2 linked regions of the Nothobranchius furzeri genome follow. The protein of the gene in region 1 purifies or fractionates together with the protein of each later gene. This does not show direct contact. Links are inferred from orthologs where the notes say so. Each region holds a gene or a part of one and is shown on either strand. Other genes may lie near its edges. The genes, in order: med12 and cdk19.

Region 1 (11,175 bases):
ATCAACCCCTTTGATCTGCTGCTTTGGTTTTTTTTTTCCTTCCAAATGAAACCGTGGGGTTTTCCTGCCCTTTTCTGGCTAAGTGTATTATTTCATGTTTTTCAGCCACCTACTAAATCATTTTTCACTTTCTCTCTGTGGCAGAATATGGACCAGTGGACGATGAGGCAGTCGTCTCTGGAGCTGCAGCTGATGATCAAACAGAGCACAAACAATGTGAGTCTAACTCCTTCCTGTTGTCCCAGTAACAGAAAATGGTGAATTTATAGTTGTTACTGGCGACATAAATGTGTTTATTTTATATTTAGGAGCTCTACTCTCTCCTGGAGAACATAGCTAAAGCCACTATAGAGGTTTTCCAGAAATCAGCTGAGATGAACTCCAGTAACCCCTCAGGAAATGGAGCGGCAGCCCAGGCTGGCTCTGCATCCAATAGCAACAGCACCACGAGCAAGATGAAACCTATTTTAAGGTGCGGATTTCAACTCTGCACTGATAATGGGATCTGTCTTTAATCTACATTTTGGGTTGAATGAAGCTAAGATCTTTGTTTTCACTGATATCCAGCTCCTCAGAGCGATCAGGCGTCTGGCTGGTGGCCCCATTGATAGCCAAGCTGCCCACATCGGTCCAGGGCCATGTCCTGAAAGCAGCCGGAGAGGAACTGGAAAAGGGACAGCACCTCGGCTCCTCCTCTCGCAAAGAGAGGGACAGGCAGAAACAGAAAAGGTACGTGGCAGCTGAGTCTTTTCCCTGGAATCTTGGTAGTTTTGGAACAATCGTGTGTTTCTGCTCCCGCAGTATGTCTCTGCTGAGCCAGCAGCCGTTCCTGTCTTTGGTGCTGACCTGCTTGAAGGGCCAGGATGAACAGAGGGAAGGCCTTCTTACCTCCCTCTACAGTCAAGTGCAGCAGATTGTCACAAACTGGAGAGAAGATCAGTACCAGGATGACTGCAAGGCCAAGCAAATGATGCACGAGGCTCTGAAACTACGTCTGAATCTTGTGAGCGTCTTTCAAAAGCATAGATAGCTGTATAACACAACATCTTAACAAGATTTTGTTTATTCTGATTCAAAATAATTGCACAAGTTTCTAGTTTCATGTGCACCTTATCACACAGAACCGACTTTGGTCTGGATTTGAGTTCTTAGAATAAAAGATTTCATGAAGCGTTTTTGTTTTCTTGCTAAGGTTGGAGGCATGTTTGATACGGTGCAGCGGAGCACCCAGCAGACCACTGAATGGGCAGTTCTTCTCCTCGACATCATCAGCAGCGGCACGGTGGATATGCAGTCCAACAAGTGAGTGTTGCCTACAGGGAGTTTCCAAAGTCACTGTCAGTAATGTGCCTGTCTGGTGCTCATCTCCGTCTCTTTTCTGCAGTGAGCTGTTCACAACGGTGTTGGACATGTTAAGTGTGCTAATAAATGGCACGCTGGCTGCTGACATGTCCAGCATCTCCCAGGGCAGCATGGAGGAGAACAAGAGAGCTTACATGAACCTGGTGAAGAAGCTCAGGGTAGGACCTGTGTGTGTGTGTGTGTGTGTGTGTGTGTGTGGGGGGGGGGGGGGGGCTGAAAGAGTGTGCAAGTGTGTAGTTGAGCTACGGCAATAATCAAGGGGCTTTTATTCTAGTTTCAGACCTGCCAACCTGTACACACTTTGCTTGGCAGTTATGCAGTTTGGCATCTAATTACCTTGGTATGACTCACCCCTCTAAACTACGCAAAAAGCTGTGGACACGTGAGTTCTGTAGCAAAAAAGCATGTGTGGTACACGACTCAGCACATGGTGAAGAAGTTTAGGCCAGTCATTGTAGAAAAGCAGAAAAAAACAATTCTGCCTAACCTATAGCGTAACCCTCCCCCCGTCTTCATCCTGTGTCCTGCCCGCTGCCTCTCTCCATCCTCCAGTTCCCACTTGCTGCTGTCCTGGGGTTTAAAAAGGTCAAGTGTGTGTCCCTCGGCATTCTTCAAATATCCAAGAAATGCCCGTACTTCTGACTTTTTCTTCTTTGAAGGATAATAAATGTCCCAAGTGCTGCCATCTCCTTTGGCCATTATTTCAGCTTTAGCTTCAAGAAAGTTTTGGTTGTAAACAACAAAGTGCGCATGTGCCGCCGGCTACTTCAGCAGATGATACGGTGGCTGGTAAGGGTCACCGCGCCTACACCACAGCCACGGTAATCCACCGAGATTTTTTTTTTTTTAAAACAAGACGGTTATTATTATTGTCAACTTTTTTACCGGGGTTTACTGCTACACCCGTTACCGTGACAACCCTAGCCCTGACACACTTTCAGATATTCTCATGGTGCAGCTGTGTTCTCCAGAGATCAAGGACTAGGACCCAAATGAGGCTGTAATGCTTTGGCACAAAGACGGTGTCAGAAGCAGGAGGCCAGACTTCATGGACAGAGAAAACAAGGAGTCTGACTAGATTTCAATGAAAGAGTTCATAAAAACATCTCTAAAAATAAATAAATAGTAAAAATGACAAAAGAGTTGTTTTTCTTATTAATTGATGTTTTAATTATTTTGTCACTCTGTCTGGAATCAACATAATATAGAGTAACATGCTTTAGGTAGATCTAAATCATTTAGAATTTTGGTCGGTAAAAAATATGCCGCTTGGCCGGTGAGTAAAAAATTTAATTTCGTACCCTGTGTGTGTGTGTTTGTGTGTGTAAGTGAGTGAGTGAGTTGAAACCCGTTTCTCCAACCACTCTGCAGCGTTCAATCGGCAATATACAAAATAAATCATTACTATTAAAGACATTAACATTTTTTTTATTAATTTTTATTAAGTATCTAAATAATTCAGTGCAATTAAGCTGTTAAGCTGTCAGCTTGTATGAGCATATATTATATAAGGAAAGCAAGAGCAACTTTTGAGTTTTACTGCGTAATATTAGAATGCGTGGTAATTCGGACTATTCAAGAATATGTTTCCAGACAGTAAAATAGCCAAACAATATGGCTGCTGATGATCTAATGACTTTGGGCTCTAGGCCTTTTGCTGCTTCACCTGTTTGTCCCAGAATTAGGGGACGCTCCAGCTCGAAGGGTTAAAAGTGGTTCTGACTAAGGTAAAATCTTTGACATTTGAGGTTGTACGATTTTGTAATTGTTGCTCCGTTTGTTCTTACTCGTACAGAAGGAGCTTGGAGATCGACAGTCAGAAAGTTTGGAGAAGGTTCGCCAGCTTCTGCCGCTACCGAAACAAACCCGTGATGTCATCACCTGTGAACCCCAAGGCTCACTAATAGACACAAAGGGCAACAAGATCGCCGGCTTTGAGAAGGAGGTAGACACACTTTACTCCTCGTTCAACATGACGATCGACAATGGCTTTGGGTTAGGTTCTTATGAATGCTAGAACTTGGAGATTTGGTGGTTCTGAGACAAATAGAGGACAGTGCAAAGACATTGTTTTTGTCATAATGATCAAAAGCAACTGTTAGGCTAATCATCACTGCTTCTACAGCTTCATTTGTTTTTGAAACACTGGTCATTTAAATTTTCTAATGTTCAATATTTCAGGTCTTTTAGGCTTTTGTTATTGATTAAAATGTGTAATTTGGTTCATCAGGGCCTTCAAGTATCAACCAAACAGAAGATTTCTCCTTGGGATGTGTTTGAGGGTCTGAAACACTCAGCCCCTCTCTCCTGGGGCTGGTTTGGAACTGTACGTGTGGACCGGAAGATCACTAAATTTGAGGAGCAGCAGCGTTTCCTGCTCTACCACACCCACCTGAAGCCCAAACCTCGCAGCTATTACCTGGAGCCTCTCCCTCTGCCCCCTGAGGAAGAGGAACCCTTGACGCCTGTCCCTCAGGAGCCAGAGAAGAAGATGATGGAGACGGTGAAAGCAGAGAAGAATGTGCCAGCTGTTCCTCCAGAGTCGAACAAGAAGAAGCCTAGCAAAAAGAAGAAGTCTTCCTCTACCAAAACAGAGGTCTGAGTAGCTTCGTGTCCAACAGGCATGTTTTAATTTAGAATTAGGGAGTTAACTGGCTTTTCTTTGACAGGATTATGGGAATCGTGCAACAGGAGGTGTGAACTACATGCCAAACATTGCCCCAGAGTTAATGCAGAGCCACCCATATGGCAGAACACCCTACAACCCACAGCCCATGGGCATGTTGGCACAGAACCAACCCCTGCCTCCAGGTAAGCCCACAGCATCATCAAAGGCCTAGTTTTGGAGACTAAGCAAAACCCAGTCTTGGTTTTACGTTCCTGTGCCTTTCCATCAGGAGGTCCAGGGTTGGAGCCTCCGTACAGACCTCCGCGTAACATGATAAACAAAATGATACCCACTCGACCCAGCTATCCACCCAACATGGCTGGTTTGGTTGGAATTGACAAGCCATACCAAATGCCCTACAAGCCCCCACCTAGCATGGCTCAGAGCCAGAACCCACGGCAGCAGTTAATGTACAGACTGGTGAGTTGTGCCTGTTCCTACCCGATCAAATAATCCCGTCTGATGTTTATATCCTCTTGTTACTCGAACTAATGTTACAATCACTTTTCTTAGCAAAGCCAAGCTCATGGACAGCCCATGAGGCAAATGGCTCCTAACCAACCATACACGGCAATGCAAGCCTCACAGGTGGGTGCGTTTTAGTCTAAAGCCGGGCGGACACTGTGCGACTTTTTCACTCGTAGCACTCAGCTTCAGCTCAAACTGTACGACTTCCTCGCAGGGCAGATCTCACGAGTCATCTGCTCACACTGCACGACCCAGTTCTCGGATGCGACCTGACTGCTCACACTGTACGTCTGGTAGCAACACGTCGGCCCTAAAAATATGCTAAAAATAGCCGTTTTTACTCAACACGTCAGACTTTTTTGTCTTGTTTTGCCTGTTGTCCTTCGGGAGTGCTGCAGGAGGACACACAGGGATTTATGGGGGTTGGATTAGGAAAACGAAATAAAGAAAGTAAATCTGTGTTTTGTGATCAGTTTAATTTGACATGAACACGACAAACACGCTTTCTTGACAATCTTTGTGAGTAAAAAAACGTGTAGAAACAAAAACGAACAGCGTGTGTTATTAGGGAAATAGCGAGCGGCGTTGATGCATGATTGCGCATGCGCCGTGAGCGGTTCTGATACTTTTTGGGTCGCAGCTGCTCGCAGCGCTGCTTCAACAGTGCGATACCCTCACGAGGGACGAGCAAAATATTAAACACGCCAGAAGTCCGTGCGACCTCACGACTGCTGATCGGTAGCTGGTCACGTGGTGTTAATCGCCTCTCGTAACCCCCTGTACACTACACGACCGCTCGGCGCAAAACTCGCCCCGATGTCGTGGATTCTCGCACGACTGGAAAATCGGCTCAAAAAAGTGAAAAAGTCGCACAGTGTACACCCGGCTTAAGACATCTTCAAGTGTTGACCACATAACTAAGCTGAGAAATCAACATTTCAATTGATTACCAACCTTGTTCCAATCCAGTCTCAGAGCTATACCTCATATGGACCCCACGTGGGCATGAGTGGTGGAATCCTTTCCTCCTCCCCCTATGGGAACCAGAACTTCCAGAGCACCCATCCTGGACCAAACCCCGCCGTGGTGGATCCTCACAGGCAAATGCAGCCGAGGCCTAATGGATATGTTCTCCAGCAGGCTCCAGGCCCCTACGTGCAGATGCCAACAACACCAAGGTCAGCTTTGTAGGACAGCAGCTGCTTAGTCTTGTGTTTTTACTTTTTTAAATTTAAAGCTAAGTCTTTATCTTTACTAATTTTGCTCCTGTTCATTTTTTTTGGGGGGGGGGGGTTGTAAACTTCAGGTTTCCTCAAACCCACCAGTCGAATCCTGTCATGCAGGGTCTCAGCCAAACAGGACCCCAGGGAGTGTATTCTGGCTTGAGGCACAATCCGATGCTGGCAGATCAGCAGCAGCAACAGCAGCAGCAACAAGCAGCGCAGCAACAGCAACATTACAACAGACAAGTAGCACTCCGAGTAAGAGACTGATCACTGGTTTACACAGGTTTTAGCTTGGTTTAGTTTATTCTTAATAATAAAAGGATAGAGTATGATTACAAGGCCTGGAAATTAAAGTTTCTGAGCTTGACGTGGTCTGAGCAGCCTAACTTTCTAAGCAGATTTAGCCTTCTTGAAAAAACTCTAGCCTTAAAATTGGAACATTTTTAAACCTTACACTTTCTGTTTCTGGCAGAAATATGATGCTCCTGCTGGAAGTGCCCCCTGCTGTACCAGAACCAGTACAGCTAGTTGTTGCTGCCAATACCTGAATTATGGATGTTGTAGTAAAAAGGAATCTATCCAACTAGATGAAATATCATTTACATACACCACTGTGACATTTTTGGATTTAAGATGGCAGTGATCCATTTTGGTCTTGGTTTTGTTTGGACCAGTAGTGGAAGAAATACTTGATGGTTTTACTTAAGTAAAAGTACAGATAAGGGGGTGCAAATGACCTAAGGAAAAATTGAAGTATTCAAGAAGTAGTGTTAAAGTATACATTTTCAAATGTACTTTAAAGAAAAAAATTACAAGTACTCAACATTTAAGTAGGGCTTAAAATATGCATTGTGTTGTAAGTGTATGGGTTAAGGTGTTGCCAAATACACCAAAATAAAACAATAAAACAATGTAGATAAGCAAGTCTACTCAACTCTGATTTAAAGTAAGAGCTTAAAGGTACAAGAAGTAAGAAATTTATAGTGAAAAAAATAACAAACCCGTCTAATGTCTCAATGATGTTGAAAGGAAAGTTACACTGAAACAAATTTCCTTCTCAGCCGGCTGGGCGGTTGTCAGTTTTTCTCCTTTCACAATGGTCAAAAACGGACACAGTCACTTTTCACATTCTTTGAGCCTGTGGGGTTGCCAATTCTGTGCTGATCTGACACTGCAGCACTGGCTTTTGTAATTCAACACTGGCTGACAAAACGCTCCAGAGTTGTGGAAGGTATGTTGGCCATTAAAGGAAGCAGCCCAGAAGTTATTTCTTGTACCCCTAAGAAGCCTCGGCATCTTTTTGCTTCAATAGGATAAAGAAGGCTAATGGCTAAAGCTGAGCTAACAATGCCAACAGTGAATTAAAAGGACACAGTCGGATGTAAAAATATCTAAAGCTACTTTTTTCAATTAGCAAAAACTCGATACTACAGTGAAATTAATTTACTCATCAGTTTACTGTGTATGACTCGTCTTTGCTCGTCATCAAGACTCTTCTGGTGCTGAGTTGTAACTGGAAATGTTTGCTCAGAGCAGACTCATTTGTTTTAATACAGACTGCAGTACCCACATTTGACCACTGAATGTCATTCTTTCTTCATGCACCTTTAATGAACAGGAGCATAAAGGCACCCTGGCCTTAGATAAGGATCCAGATTAAATAAGAAACATGATACTTTTAAAGGAATACTTTGCTACTCTTTCATATTTTTAAATGATTTTCTTGAGCCAGTATGTGTTGAAACGAACCTTTACAGGATTAATGAAAGGCCACCCAGGCCCTATCGCCTCCTGTGGCCAGCATATTCCACATGCAATTTCAGCTTGTCTGGCCGCCCTGTTGGAACTAAGAAAAAAATTGAGCTGGCGCTGCTGTCTGGTTCCAGCACGTCTTCTGTTGTACTTCAATTTAAATGAAAAGCAATTTGTAATTACAATGACTACAAATCAGACATCGGCAAGTCACATATATGATGTCACCATAGAATCTCCTCTCCCCTAGCGTAGCTTCTACTGACCAAATGGCCAGTTTCATGGTGGTTCTTTCCTCCTGATGGAAGGATTTGAAGTTGGCTGATTTTACAGCCACTTTTCCTCATCATTTCTCCATGTCTGATTTGATTACGTCAATTGGCGATGTGCATTTGTAGTCCTGGATGTATTTTCACACAAAACCTAAAATAACTTTTGCCTCCATTAGAAAATAACAAATTTAGTCCCACTGACTTGCAGTCAATTTTTCGTTCTTCCGGGGACCCATGGTCCGGAAGAAGATGGGCGTGACTTAGGCTCACTATTGAAGCAAAATACAGAAATCGCCATAAAAACATTAATAAAAAGGATCTCTTTCAATTAAACATGTTAAAAACTGTTGTGTCTCATTGGTTTAGCAAAGTAAAAAATACTTAATTAGTTTTGAGTAATGTTTTAATTTACCTGGAGGTTTTTGAAGAAAATCACTTAATTTTTCATAAAAATCTATAAAAAATGTACAGGACTGTATGAAATGTGTTAAAGGCTGTTGTTGTGGGATTGGTCTAGCTTAGTAACACCGTTGGGAATTAGGTTGGAGTATTTTAATCAATTTACCTGTAAGCTATTGACAAAAAAGTTTTACTTATAAAAAAAAGGTCAGATTGTATGAAATATGTTTCTAACTATTGTGCCTCGTTGGTCTAGTTCAGTAAGACAACATGGAATTGATTTTCAATAATTTAATTAAGACTAGAAACTGTTGACGGTCCCTAAGCGGACCACCGCTTTCATGAGCAAGTCCCCGGAACACAGCTGACCGCTGTCTCTCTCTGGTGCAGCACACGGCATGAAAATCTCCGGCTAACTGTGGTGAACTATGAGTGTATATCTGTCAAATGTCCAACATCCAACTGTGGTGCAGCGGAGTGAGGTGACACGAGGCACCCCATACCCTTCTCATGCATGGAAAACTTGGCAGCCCTTGCGAGACTGCTCAGGCCTGCTGAGGACCTAGTGGAGTGTGGCTAGACTGACCTGCAGAGACTTTTGCTCCTGCTACGGTCTCTCTACATTTCTAGGCTAAGGTTGTTGTCGTTTTAATAACAAAAAGAAAAAGCAGTGACAAGGAAAACTTTGCTTCATCTGAAAGGCTAACTTTTTTCTGTTACGTATACATTATCACTACATTTCAAAGAACTGAAAAAGAGAAAATAAACCTTAAAACCTTAGAGAAGCAAGCTGGTGCATTCAGTGAACTGAGACGTTCTTTGGAAGCTTTACCTTTTTTTCAGTGGGGGCTCTGAAGGGCATTAGAGTGAGAAGCCGATGAATTTAGACATAACTTTACTGAAGTTAGTTTCTCTTGCTGTAATACTTTTGTCCTTCTGCAGCAGCAGCAGGCTCAAGCTCAGCAGCAACAGCAGCAGCAGCAGCAGGTTCAGCAACAGCAGGTTCCTCCTCAGCAGCAGGTTTCACAGCAGCAGCAGCAACAGCAGCAGCAGGTTTCAGCCGTGGCTCCTCCAGGTCAAACACAGAACCAGGGTCTGAACATGCAGCCACTGCCCCCTCAGCAGCCCATGGTAAGTATGACTCATAAAAGCCTTTAGTTGTCCTCTGGTCTGCAAAATATAGTAGAATTTTAAATGACCCTAATGGTTGGACATTTATTTATTCAATAAAAAAACTTAATTGTCCAGTATAATCCATAAAAGTCCAGTTCTAATTAGTTTTTCTTAGTTCAAAATAAAAACAAAAATTTAGTGATGTACCGATATCCGATATTAAGATCACTGTTATGGCCAATAACCGATATTTGCCAATACCGATATACTGACATTAATGCTTCTAAAATCAGCAGATTTTGTATAGAATGAAAATTATTAAAGCTGAATTTACGTTATTACCGTAAATCCTCTAATACAGGCCGGTATTCAATTAAAGGCCGGGTCTCCAATTTTGGCCGGTGTCGGAGTCAGCGGAGGTGAATAATGGCCGGTCTCTTATTGTGGCCGGGTGGAATGTGGTAACAAGCAAGTACAAGCATCCCAGCGGCAGGGTTATAGTCCCCAAATCAACCAGCAGGAGCCAATAGAGGTTCACACAGACCTTTATTAGGCTTTTTCTTCAACGCTTTGTAACGCTACAGACACGATCCTCTATCACGCTCCTACCACACAGAGTCACGGTGTCAGTTAACCATGCTAATTCAACCCGCTCCACAGAACACACATCACCTTCCCTGTGGCTTACATAACACTCACACAACACGCAAATCAGCACATAGGAACTAGCAGAACGATAGGAAACACATATAACACAATACCCAGAATGCACCTGGCTTACAACCCCAGCCAGGTCATTACACTATCAAGTTCAAAGAGAACGTGCTGATTATGCTGCAGAACACTCTGGAGAGCAGCAGTAGGGGGTGTATGAACTAGTCAACTTCACTATAGTGACTTTTTATGCCTGTCGCTGTCACGTGATAATGACCGGCAAGGTGCAGCCCTCGGAAAAGACAGCAGCCTGCTGTCAGCAGGTGACAAGCTCCTGCGCTCGGGGGGGGGGGGGGGGGGGGGGGGGGGGCAACGCGCTGTGCCAGACCGTAGGTACTGACACGCGATCGTTCATGTCGGTTCATTTCCTTTAATGTTTTCTGTCTTTTATTTGCGCTTGATGTGTATCGCTGCTGTGGAGCGGGGCGCTTCACCTTGTCCTCCGACGCACAGATCACTGATGCGGCCTCCAAGCAGGGAGCGCTCCGCTGTTTTCGCGGTCGGTAGATCTGCCTCCTGAGCACGGCCACAGTAACAATCAGGTGTCGCCACCTCAAAAACTAATTTAACACGCGATCGTTCATGTCGGTTCATTTCCTTTAATGTTTTCTGTCTTTTATTTGCGCCTGATGCGTTTCGCTGCATGCTGTGGAGCGGGGCGCTGCCCGCATCACCTTGTCCTCCGACGCACTGATCACTGATACGGCCGCCAAACAGCGAGCGCTCCGCTGTTTTTGCGGTCAGTAGATCTTTTAGAACTGCAGTTCAAAGGTAACTCATGAGGTGAATATACATGAACCCAGGTAGCAGTTTTTCTTTAGGATTGAGAGGAGATGCAGGAAGATAATAAACAGACAGGACAGAAAAATAGTCAAATAAAAACAAGTTAGTTTTTGTACCTGGTGGTTGCAACAAACTGACACCATTGAAGGTCATCAGAAGTGAGGAACAGAAAATGAAATAATTATTTTAATGTTTAGAGCAGCAGGAACTCCGAGAGGCTGCAGGCGCATCAGTGAGTTTGCGGCCGCTGCGCAGGGGGAGGGGGGAGAGGGCTGAAGCAGGGGGAGTGGGGAGATGGCTGAAGCAGAAACTACCGTTGTTAAAAGAAATGTTTAACTTTGAAAATGTGGGCGCAATTTTAATTGTCAAAAACTCCAGCGAACCATTAGTTCATTTTGCTCAAATAGAAATAGAGGCC
Region 2 (11,710 bases), on another chromosome or scaffold:
CGCCCACATTTTCAAAGTTAAACACATTTCTTTTAACAACGGTAGTTTCTGCTTCAGCCCTCTCCCCCCTCCCCCTGCATCAGCCCTCTCCCCCCTCCCCCTGCGCAGCGGCCGCAAACTCACTGATGCGCCTGCAGCCTCTCTGAGTTCCTGCTGCTCTAAACATTAAAATAATTATTTCATTTTCTGTTCCTCACTTCTGATTACCTTCAGTGGTGTCTGTTTGTTGCAACCACCAGGTACAAAAACTAACTTGTTTTTATTTGACTATTTTTCTGTCCTGCCTGTTTATTATCTTCCATCTCCTCTCAATCCTAAAGAGTAACTGCTACCTGGGTTCATATATATTCACCTCATGAGTTACCTTTGAACTGCAGTTCTAAAAGATCTACCGACCGCTAAAACAGCGGAGTGCTCGCCGGCCACATCAGTTAGGTGCGTCACCGAGGACAAAACAGGTGATGCACCCCGCTCCACAGCAGCGAAAAGCATCAGGCACAAATAAAAGAATAAAAGACAGAAAACATAAAAGGAAATGAGTCGACAGGAACGATCGCGTGTTAAATTAGTTTTTGAGGTGGCGACACCTGATTTGATAATGTTACTGTGGCCGTGCTCAGGACGCAGATGTCTGCGCGCGTCAACGATCAGAGCTTTGCATGTGCAAGCTGGTTAAGGTTAGGATGGGGGTGAGGGGAAGGTTAAATTGCAAGAGGGTAAAGGTCACAATTTGGTTAAATGTCCGCTTTACGGCGGGTGTCAGTACCGACGCTCTGGCACAGCGCGTTGCCTCCAGACGCGCAGGAGCTTGTCACCTGCTGACAGCAGGCTGTTGTCTTTTCCGTGGACTGCATCTTGCCGGTCATTATCACGTGACAGCGACTAGTCGATGACACGCATAACAAGTCACTATAGAGCGGTGAAGTCGACTAGTGACTAGATCATACAACCCCTGCTACTGCTCCCCAGAGTGTTCTGCAGCATAATCAGCACGTTCTCTTTGAACTTAATATCAAATTTTCGCCTCCTCTTTGTCTCCGCACGGTTAAAGTTACCCTCGCGGTCTATCACTGGCAAATCAAAAGTGAGACGATGACACAACCGCCCCCCGTACTTGCTTGTTACCACATTCCACCCGGCCACAATAAAACCGGCCATTATTCACCTCTGTCGACTCCAACACCGGCCAAAATATGATACCCGGCAGGTAATTAAATACAGGCTAATAGAGGATTTACGGTATGTTAATATAAATCATCACAAAACTAAAATATTAGGTGAACAGAAATGACAAGTTACAGTTAAGTCACTTTCAAGCAACTGCATTGGTATTGGTTACGGTATCTGTTAACTTTTCCCGATACTGGTATCTGCACCGATACACATACCAGTGTCGGTATCGGTGCATCCCTATAAAAAACGCTTTTCCGTCTACTGCTCTTAATATAATTCTGACGCCTAACTAAAGCCCCACACTCGTTACATTTATGAACAGAAAGTAAAGAGAGAGCGGGATGACAGCTAAAATGTCCACCAGATTCAGAACTTGTTGCGCAGCGGACCGTCTGGCATGAATTACATAGCGCTGCTTGCGATTGCATGCCTATAAGCGCATTCTGGAGGCCATGGTTTTAATAAAAAAACCATTTAGTTTTCTTACATTGAACTAAATAATTACACTGACATTTCTTTATTTTACTAGACAATTTAGCAGACAGAAGCAAGCAGGAGCGTCACAGCACACTGACCTGTTGCTGGTCTCACTTCAGTTCCCATCGGAGTCTGATTTTCCAACCAGCTATATGTCCTTGATGCATAATCGGATATACAACACATTTTCTGGGCTTATTCGTGGTTCACTGATTAACCCACGTGTGGTAAAAATAGAGCATCCCCTAGTGGTTAAATACATAATTTCATGGCAGGCTCAGAGGACATGCTGAGTCAGAGTGAGGTGCAGATGAAGTGACCATTCGCAGTGTCCAAGGTCACAGGGTGGTTGCGACACTAGGCCAACGTGGCGCCGAATGACGCTGCTTGCAGCTTTGATTATATTTATTATGTACGGTAATGTGCCGAGTTGTCCTCTGCTCTTTCTGCTACAGACTCAACTGATGATGGATGCTCGGCACAAACACTAGCACCTAGATTAGCATTGTGCACCAATAAAAGACACATCTTCCTCACACAAGCAACGTACCTTTGTTCAATAATTGTGGCGTAATGGTACGCTAAAATCATATTCGGTTCAGTGTTTTGAAGAGCTTGGTTTGATTAATTTTTGGTATATTATTATATTTATATAATATCTGAAGCGGCTCCTAAAGTGAGCAGAAGCAGGTGTCATCACAGGCTGCTGATCTATGATGTCTTTAATTATTTCACAGGTTATTAGTGCAGCTATGAGTGTCACGCGCATACAGACACGTGTTGAGTTTGACTGTTGGTGCTCCTGTTTTAGCCTTAAAAACTCACCTCACACCACCGAGTTTCTTCTTCTCGTATAAAATAAGGAGCTTCCTCCGCGCTGTATTTCTGTAGCAGAGATTGGGCGCGTGCAGCCATCATGGGTCACTCAATACAGCGTTCGTCCAGAAACTCAGCTAGGAATTTTTATCTGCTGCACTTAAATCACGCAAATACAAATTCATCATTTAACGGAAAAAATTAACTGAAACGTATGCAAGTGGACTGAACCAAAAAGGCCGAGCCAAAGCGGTTCAACCCCAGTGAACCGTTACACCCCTTTTCACGAGGGATCAGATTTATCAGAATTGGATAATTGGTTCTTTCAACACGGCCCTAAATATGATTGTGAACGGCTGATGAGTTTTAGCCATAATACACCTGGAGATGACATCCACTTGTAAATTAGCAGGTCCTAAAGCTACACGTGAGTATAAAGCCAGTCATGCAGCTCAACATTTTATTCAATAGTTTACACCTACTACATGAGCAACCATGGCTCAATCCTGACTGGCACAATTTACATAAACCTAGGGCTGGGCGATATGGACCAAAACTTATAGCTCGATATCTTTTTGCTGAATTCCGATATATATCTCGATATTTTTCCTCCTGTAAAATATTTACAAGTTAACTCACTTCAAGCTGTCTGGAGAAATTATACATAAATCAGTAGATTAAATGCATAAAAATGTTTTGATTCTTGTCAAACTTTAACCTTAGTGCCTATTCTCTACCAGTCTGAGCTTTAGAAACGCTGGTACAGCTGTCTGCTAACACACACACACACACACACACACACACACACACACACACACACACACACACTTACTTGAGCTAGAGGTGTATCAAATGTCCCACAGGTACTTTTTAATTATATATTCATAATTAATGTAAAAATATTTAAATTCCATCTAGAGGTGGCCGATATCGTTTATTTCTTGCCCAGAGAAAATAAATCTGTCATGTTAAACTAAATGTATGATGATGTCATTGCATCTACTGAAGGTCACATGGGTCATGCACCGTAGAGTTATTAGTTATCAGGGCAAACATGGCTGGAGTCTAACTGTTGGCTCATATCAGCGATTATACTGTAATGACTCAGTCTCTGGTTGCTCTTTTATCAGTATTATTGTCGTGCTACTGTCGCCGTAACCCACGCCTTACAAACTCTTAACTCAGGATGTTTCCTGCATTCAAATTAGCATGGCGACCGCCTCCAGCTAATGTTGTGCCGCCCCAGCCTGATTTCACTCTGCCCACCTCACACAACAGATGATGTCATTCTGTCATGTTTACAAATATTACTGCACATTATACACGCGTGTTTACCATATTACTACTGAGAGGCACAAATTCAATCAGTCAGTGTTCATTTGGGTATTTTCCAATAATGTTATTAAAACATTTATAACTAGAGATTTACTGATGTGAATTGTGTACTTTTCCTTTTCTCTACACTGTCAACTAGGTGCGGTTTCCATTTCCTTTACACAAGTTGAAAATTATTGCATTAAAGAAAAATACATATATTTTAGTCAACTAAAATAAGAAGTTTCTTTTGAACTTTAGTGAAAAGACTTAAACTAAAACTAAACAAAAATGGCTGAGAGCACGTTTTAAAGCATTTGCCAGCACCACCACTGCAGTCGAACGGAGAGCCCAGGGACCTCGTAATCTGAGCTAGCGTCACATTCTGTGAATCAGATGCCCTTGTGGACTTATTTGGACACTGGCTGACATCCAGCAGACCCAATGCACTCACAGTCCCCGTGTATGCTGGTAATCTGCCCTCTGGCCGTAAATCAATGCCAGTCACCACCACTCACCCTAACGGCCACGCCACCATTTATCTTTATTAGCTAATGATCTGAACAGTTGTTCAGCTTCTATAAAAACCCACCAGGGTTAGAGGTTTGTGCAGGACACTTTTAGTCCGGAGAAGGGACGGCCAGGCGCTGCTGGGACTCTGAATGGTACACTCCATTGTTAAAATCGTCACTTGGAAGTAAAACAGCACTAATGATAATTTTACTCAGATTTCTACAATCCTCCGAGGCACGTGTCAGACAGATTTGGGGGCAAAGGTCACGAACATTTTCAACCCTCCCTTCCCATTCTCCTGTGTGTGTGTGAAGGCAGCAGGAGGTTCCGACCCATCTGATAGGTGGAGCCCTCAACCAATCAGAGGCGATGGGAGGGGACTTCCCATGTAATCAGAAATGTGACCGGGCTCCCTCCAACAGCAGAACTTTGGGTCGGCACTAACAAAATGGATAAAGGTGTCTGGACCGTCATGGGACCCTGTTTGTGTTCCCAAGAAGCGAACCGGATCAGTCTTTAGTTCCGTTTTCCTCCGGACACCCACCTGTTTCCCTCATTATAACCGGATCCGTTATCTGGCGCCTCCGGTGGCTGCGGCAGCCGGGCGGGGGCCACATGCTCCTCAGACCCCCAGCGGAGTGGCGCAGAGTAAAATCGCTGCATTCTCCGGAGATCAGCAGAATTTCCATCGTGTCTGTCGTATTAAACCCAGAGAACCGCATCACGAGAAACTGGGCCTCACCATCGGTCCCGCTAACAAAACACTCCAAGCCCACCCCACTTCTACAGCTAAGCTAATACAACACTTACAAACCGCACCCGGGACCGTCCAGCGAGACAGAACAGAGGGTTTCTACCTTCTGTTCCCGAAGCAGCCGTGTGCAGGCCAGCCTGCTGCCCGGTTGTAGCTGACGGGTCCAGCAGCAGCACGATCGCTGTACTGGTCACAGCCCACAGCCTCAGAATGAATGACTCAGCTCAACAGAGCCACACTTTAAAAGGGGAGGAGGCCATTTTCGCTCACGTTGCTAGCCAGATTGGTGGGTGACGGCTAGGCCACAGACAGGTTCGCTAAGCTGCTGAGGGGAAACCAACAGGAAAACAACATTTCTGAACGCTTATTTGGTTATTTAACACTAAACCGCGAAGCCATGATGGACTCAGCCGCTGTTACCGCGAAATTACGCTCGCATGCACGGAAAGACATGAACTCAACCCAGTAGGACTCAAACCTTGGGATGGTGCGGAGGTCCCCGGTCCCCTTGGTCTCATCCTGCCGAGAGAACCACACCTCCAACAGCTTCTCGGTCCCTTCGAAGAAATGTGCACCGTTTTCCTCCATCATGAGACAACAGACGCCCAACAAAAAGGTGTAAACGTTGTTCGCAACGTTTGTATGTTAATAAATCCTTTCTCGATTGACTATAATTTATTGAGGTACAGTCATTAAAGTAATTCTGATGTTAATTTTCTTAAGTTACCGCGTTCCCTTTTGCAGAGAATACAGTTAGCGAGCGCTAGCTAATATCGCCGGCCATACTGTGTAAGCACCGAACGAGCCGCGGACAGCTCTTTTATAGCCTCAAGACTTACGTCACAGTGGATTGACCAATCCGCTTGTATGAGTAGAGGTTGTCCATTGTGATTTGTTGAGGAACCTTCCAATCGCACTGGAGACTGATTTTCCTCACGTGCCATTTTATTGCCACAAGAAAATAAACGTGGTAGGACCGTGTAAACAGGACAGAAAGCGAATTAACTTCATATAATGTTAACACACGTGTTTGCATCGTTAAATGCTGTTATTGTGAGTTATTTGGTTTTCATAGCTTGGACAAAATAATTAAAAATAGTTATTTATATCCCCCAAAAGACAACGTGGTCTGGGACAGCAGCAGTGTGTTTCCAAAATGTATGTTCTAAAAATGACCTGGAGATATGATCACAGGCTATGTTGTTGAACCGCTCACCTCGGGAACAAAAGCGTCCAACACAGAAGTCTGGACCACTAGCGAGCCGAGCACTCATGCGGACCCGTAGGGAGCGGGAAACGCGGGTTGTAGTTTTTCTCATTCTAGTTTCACAGCTAGTGAGTCGCGACGAGAGCTCAGAAGACTCCATTACCCAGCAAGCACTGCGCCCCAATTAGAAGCGTCAACGATCCAGTGAACACAGCGGAGCAGACCAAAATCCCAAACAAGGAAATGGTGGGGGAATAAAACGAGCAGATTATTTAATTAATGCGTGTAATAATTAATATTTTATTTTGTTGTAATTTAAGTCGTCTTTATGGGTTAACATGGATTACGACTTCAAAACAAAGCTGGCAGCCGAGCGGGAGAGAGTAGAAGATCTGTTCGAATATGAAGGTTGCAAAGTGGGTCGAGGCACCTACGGACACGTTTATAAAGCTAAGCGCAAAGACAGGTAAGACCACCGAGGTCCGGTTCCGTTCGCCCTGCCGGTCTCACGGTGCGTTTGGGTTCACACGGGCCGCGCTGGTGTTGGACGGGCGGCAGACCGAACCTTCCAGAGTGTGTCTGTGTTTTTGTTTTCATCTAACACACACACACACACACACACACACACACACACACACACACACACACACACACACACACACACACACACACACACACACACACACACACACACACACACACACACACACACACACACACACACACACACACACACACACACACACCTCTAGCCGCGCTCCTGTCCCAACACGTTTCACCAGAGATGTTTGTGTTCTGACGTTAGCTCTGTGTCTGTTCACCGGACCGCGGTGTCCCTGCTTACAAAACGGCGGGATTCCTCCGGTTTGACCGTAGACAGGTTGTGTCCCTGTGGCTTCTGTCCCTGGGACAGGACCTGTGTGTCCCTGTCTGCTGGCCCGGCCGCTGAGGGACCTGCTCTGTTATCAGTCCCGGTGAATGTTCGTGTGCCAAAGCTCTACTCCGATCTGCATAAAAGCAAAATATCATTTCCAGCTGGTGGGGGGGGGGGGGGATAACACGTCTCACCTTTATGTTAATATTGTTTTATTTGATGCCCTCCACTCTGAACTGCACCAATCCAGCAACTGCTGCATTTTAATAACTAGTATTAAAGGTGAATACACCAATATTTGCACAAGAATAATTTTAGTTTTAAACTCTCAGTGACACACTTTGCAGGGGGAGGGGGGGTGGCATTTAATTTTTCGTCTGGAAAAACATCTCCTTCTGCCCCCTTTATTTTGGTCCAAGACCATTACTGGGCTGGCCCTATTAAACACCTTCTACACCCCTGCTTAGTAGACTTAATGAAGTATTTTTAAGCCAGTATAAAAATGACTGAAACACAAATTTACATATTTGGCATTATTGACCAATATCTTTGATTTAATTTATTTGTTGAGAACATCAAGATGCATTACAGTGAACATTATAATAAAGTACATGTTTCTAGTGCAGAGAGGAGACAACCCATAGAAGCACTGGTCTGATCTCATTTCAGAGAAAACTAGAACAGGTCAGATGCACCTAATAAATAAAATTACTAACGTAAACTCAGGAATCTTGTTTCTTTGCTTCATTGTTCTGGTGCTGGAAACATCACTAATGCGGATCAAAGGAGACACACAGATGAATGCACCTCTTATTTATTATTTGGAAATTAGTGGGTGTTGTTTACATCAATACATTATTTTAAATCTGAAATTGATATGGATTGATCAGAAGTTGCTATGTGTGTATTGTTTATCTGAAAACTATTTACAGAGCAGCCTCAGAACTGAGATTAAATATGTTTGATCACAATAGTAAAGAAACTGTTACAGAACAAGTTTTTCAGTAAAATCAGAACATTATTTATTTATTTATTTATTTATTTAACTTATGTTTTTTCAGGAGGATAAACTGCTTGAGATGTAACATCTCGTTTTCGAGCAGGTCCTCCTACAACACAACCAATAACAAATAAGGTGGCAGAGTTAGAAAGTTGTAACAGAAATAAAAAAAAAAAAGGGGAAAGTAAATAATAGTAAAATCAACGATATGTATAAATGTATATATATACACACGTAAATATAAACACATAAGCAAGGATACATAGATACCAACAAGTGTACATACGTACATACATACCTATATACCAAATTAAATTAAATAAAACTGCTGTGAGGCACTAAAAGAGAAATAAGGGCAAGAAATTACATTATAAATAAATCTAAAGTGAAGTAGTATCCCAATTGAATACAAAGTTTGGCAACGAAATACAGCATGTTAGCCATTGAATGCACAAAATCATCATAGTAAAGATTAAACAAAGCAACTACAGCTTGGCTTTACATAAGCATAAACAGTGCGGGAAAATTTACGAATTGTTGAGATGGATCTTAATTCAGCGGGTAATTTATTCCAGTCCTGAGGAGCTTTAACACAAAAGGCGAGTCTACCCACCTCCTTTTTAAAACGAGGAACAACAAATGATGGAAGAGTAGTTAAGCGGGTTGAATACAAGGAATCAATGGGAACCAAAAGTGTTTTTAGATAAAGTGGAAAATCAAAATAAATGCACTTAAACATAAATATCAACCAATGAAATTGTCGTCTAGCTTTTAAAGGAAGCCAACCAAGAAGATCATACATATAACAATGATGAGTGTTAAATGAACACCGCAAAATAAAACGACACAAACTGTTATAGACGACATCAAGAGACCGCAGGCTAGAAACTGTTGAGTTTTGGTATAAAATATCAGAATAATCAATGATCGGTAACAGAAGCTGAGTGACGATGCACTTTCGAACAATAGGTTCAAAGCAATTTATTGAGTTATAAAGGATACGTAAACACCGTGTGACCTTAAGACATGTTGTGTGAATGTGAAATTTAAAAGACAGCTCTGGCTCTAGCCAAACTCCTAAATATTTCATTTTAACAGACGGTTGAACCGGGGAGGAATCCAAAAAATAAAGATTAAGAGTCCTGTCACTGTCAGATAGAGTTCTACTTCTGTGAAACAGCATGGAGTAAGTCTTAGATTTATTTAAAAGAAGTTTGTTCTGCATTAGCCAGAGCTGCACCTTGTCAAAATTAGGCTGAATAGCTTCTTGTAATTCGGATTAACTCGACTTAGAACAGTATAAGACTGTGTCATCTGCATATAACTGAACAGAACAGGATCTGCAGCACTGTGGTAAATCATTAATAAAAATTGAAAATAATAATGGCCCAAGTGAGGAGCCTTGGGGAACACCTCTGATGACACCACGCATGTTTGATTCAGAACCATTAAAGGAAACAAATTGAGAACGATGATGAAGAAAAGAACTAAACCACAGTAGAGACGGCCTTGACAGACCAAAAGCATATAATTTATCTAAAAGTAGATAGTGATTGACGAGGTCAAAGGCTTTTGTTAAATCAAGAAAAATCGCACCACCAAATAAATTATTGTCAAAACCAGAATAGATGTCATTAGAAAATTTGAGCAGTGCAGTAGTTGTCGAGAAGTTTTTTCTGAACCCCGATTGGTACTGTGATAGTAGGTTGTTATCCTCTAAGTATTTAGATAGTTGGATAAAAACCAGTTTTTCAAATACTTTAACAACTGTATTAATTATAGCAATGGGTCTATAGTTATTAGGTTCAGATGTATCATTTCCTTTATGCAGTGGTATTATTTTAGTACATTTCCAAGCTTTTGGAACAGAACATGAGTTAATTGAATGATTAAAAAGAATAGATAATGGTAAGGCTAGAACATCAGCAGCTATCCTAACAAAGCGACTCTCAATGCCATCTGGACCTGCAGCATTCCCACTAGAGAGAGACAGTATAACTTTACGCACTTCCTCAGAACGAATTTCAGAAAAAGAAAATCCACTGGAGCAACAGTGAGGCAGGGTGTAAGACCCATGATGTTCTGCAGAGGCAGGGAGAGGAGAGGAAGCAAAGTGCTTACTGAATGCTTCAGCAATTTCAGCCGGGTCATTAATAAGACTCCCATTAACATTCAGATGTGAGATTTTAACATTAGTTTTCCCCCTCAGGTCTTTAATTTTATCCCAGAAGCGCTTAGGGTTATTGATATCCTTATGCAAAGCATTCTTATAAAAATTAGCTTTAGCATTCCTAGTCTGGGTAGTACAGAAGTTCCTTAGTTTTCTATAAACTGTCCAATGCTCATGCAGATTGCTAAGTTTTGCTACTTTCCACGCTTTGTCGCGCTTCTTAAATAAAGCAATTAAATCATGAGAAATCCAAGGCAAATGGCTGCCCTTAATTTTTACACTGACCCAAGGAGCATGTTTATCAAGAACCTGCATGAACTGAGAGTGGAAAAATGCCCAAGCATCATTAACATCAGGTATAAGAAACAATCTATTCCAATTAAGAGAATGCAGCTCCTGTAAATACTGATCAGTATTAAAAGTATGCAAGTCACGAAGTCTGATCATCTTAGCTGGTGTATGTGGTAAAGATATTTTCCAGAAGCAAAAAATAACAGAATGATCACTAAAACAGTTGGGCAAAATGCCATAATCAGAAAATCTGTCTGGGTGAGTTACTAATATCCAGTCAATGAGAGAAGAGTTTGTGGCACAAGTCCTAGTTGGCTCTGAGACCAGCTGTGTCAGATTTGAGCTATTTAAAAGAATACGTTCTGGAAGAGTAGATTCATCAAGCCAGTTAAGATTGAAGTCGCCAAGTAAGATCAATTCCATTGAGTCCCCCAACGAATCAACCGTTGCTAGTAAATTTTGTATTGCTTCAAGTCTAGGGGAGGAGGGGGGGCGATAGATGTTGCCAATTATAATGTGCTTATTTCCATTAAAAGAAATTTTAGTAAAGATGGCTTCGAAGTGAAGTGGTTTGACTGTCGGGACAATAACCTGAGACTGCAGACTAGAGGAGACATAAGTGGCAACCCCGCCACCCCTTGTCCCTCTATCCATTCTATATAAAACAAAGTTGTCAAGAGAAATATCATTGTCAGAAATGTTATCATTCAACCATGTCTCAGACAACGTAATTATTTTTGGTTCATTATAACCAAGCCATGCTTTTAATAAATCAGTTTTAGGAAATAAGCTTCTTATATTGAGATGGATTATGTGTAAACCTTTACCCATAACAAGAAAAACGAGGTACAAAAATAACCCTCACAGCAGGCAGATACAGAAGAAAATCTAAAACAAAAATAAACAGAAAAAAAAGAACAAAATATAATAAAATTACACGGAAATTAAATGAGTTATCACTCATAGTCCAGAAAGTCTCAGATCTGAGCCCATGGCCTGCAACCTGCTCAAAGCACAGCCACCTAAACTAATAAAGATTGCCATAACTCAACAAGGTGGCTGGATTTTATCAATATAAGTAAATAAGAATAAAGTAAGGATAATTTGACCTTAGACGAAAT

The links.
Region 2: the proteins of med12 (region 1) and cdk19 purify together in Homo sapiens (affinity purification with mass spectrometry; 10 studies listed by BioGRID and IntAct, counting the BioPlex papers as one, with this or other methods). This does not show direct contact. The link is inferred for Nothobranchius furzeri from reciprocal best matches to the Homo sapiens genes MED12 and CDK19.

The regions. Positions count from the first base shown.
Region 1 is NC_091741.1:82,323,020-82,334,194, forward strand, and holds part of med12 (mediator of RNA polymerase II transcription subunit 12), read left to right. Parts: intron 1-144; coding exon 145-216; intron 217-308; coding exon 309-472; intron 473-567; coding exon 568-729; intron 730-801; coding exon 802-1,003; intron 1,004-1,192; coding exon 1,193-1,302; intron 1,303-1,384; coding exon 1,385-1,520; intron 1,521-3,157; coding exon 3,158-3,307; intron 3,308-3,592; coding exon 3,593-3,958; intron 3,959-4,031; coding exon 4,032-4,173; intron 4,174-4,259; coding exon 4,260-4,450; intron 4,451-4,543; coding exon 4,544-4,618; intron 4,619-5,467; coding exon 5,468-5,676; intron 5,677-5,804; coding exon 5,805-5,979; intron 5,980-9,089; coding exon 9,090-9,278; intron 9,279-11,175. UniProt on the Homo sapiens protein: Component of the Mediator complex, a coactivator involved in the regulated transcription of nearly all RNA polymerase II-dependent genes.
Region 2 is NC_091742.1:28,594,012-28,605,721, reverse strand, and holds the start of cdk19 (cyclin-dependent kinase 19), read left to right. Parts: upstream 1-6,390; 5' UTR 6,391-6,497; coding exon 6,498-6,500; intron 6,501-6,574; coding exon 6,575-6,720; intron 6,721-11,710. Other genes in the region: amd1 (S-adenosylmethionine decarboxylase proenzyme), read right to left, coding at 5,526-5,638.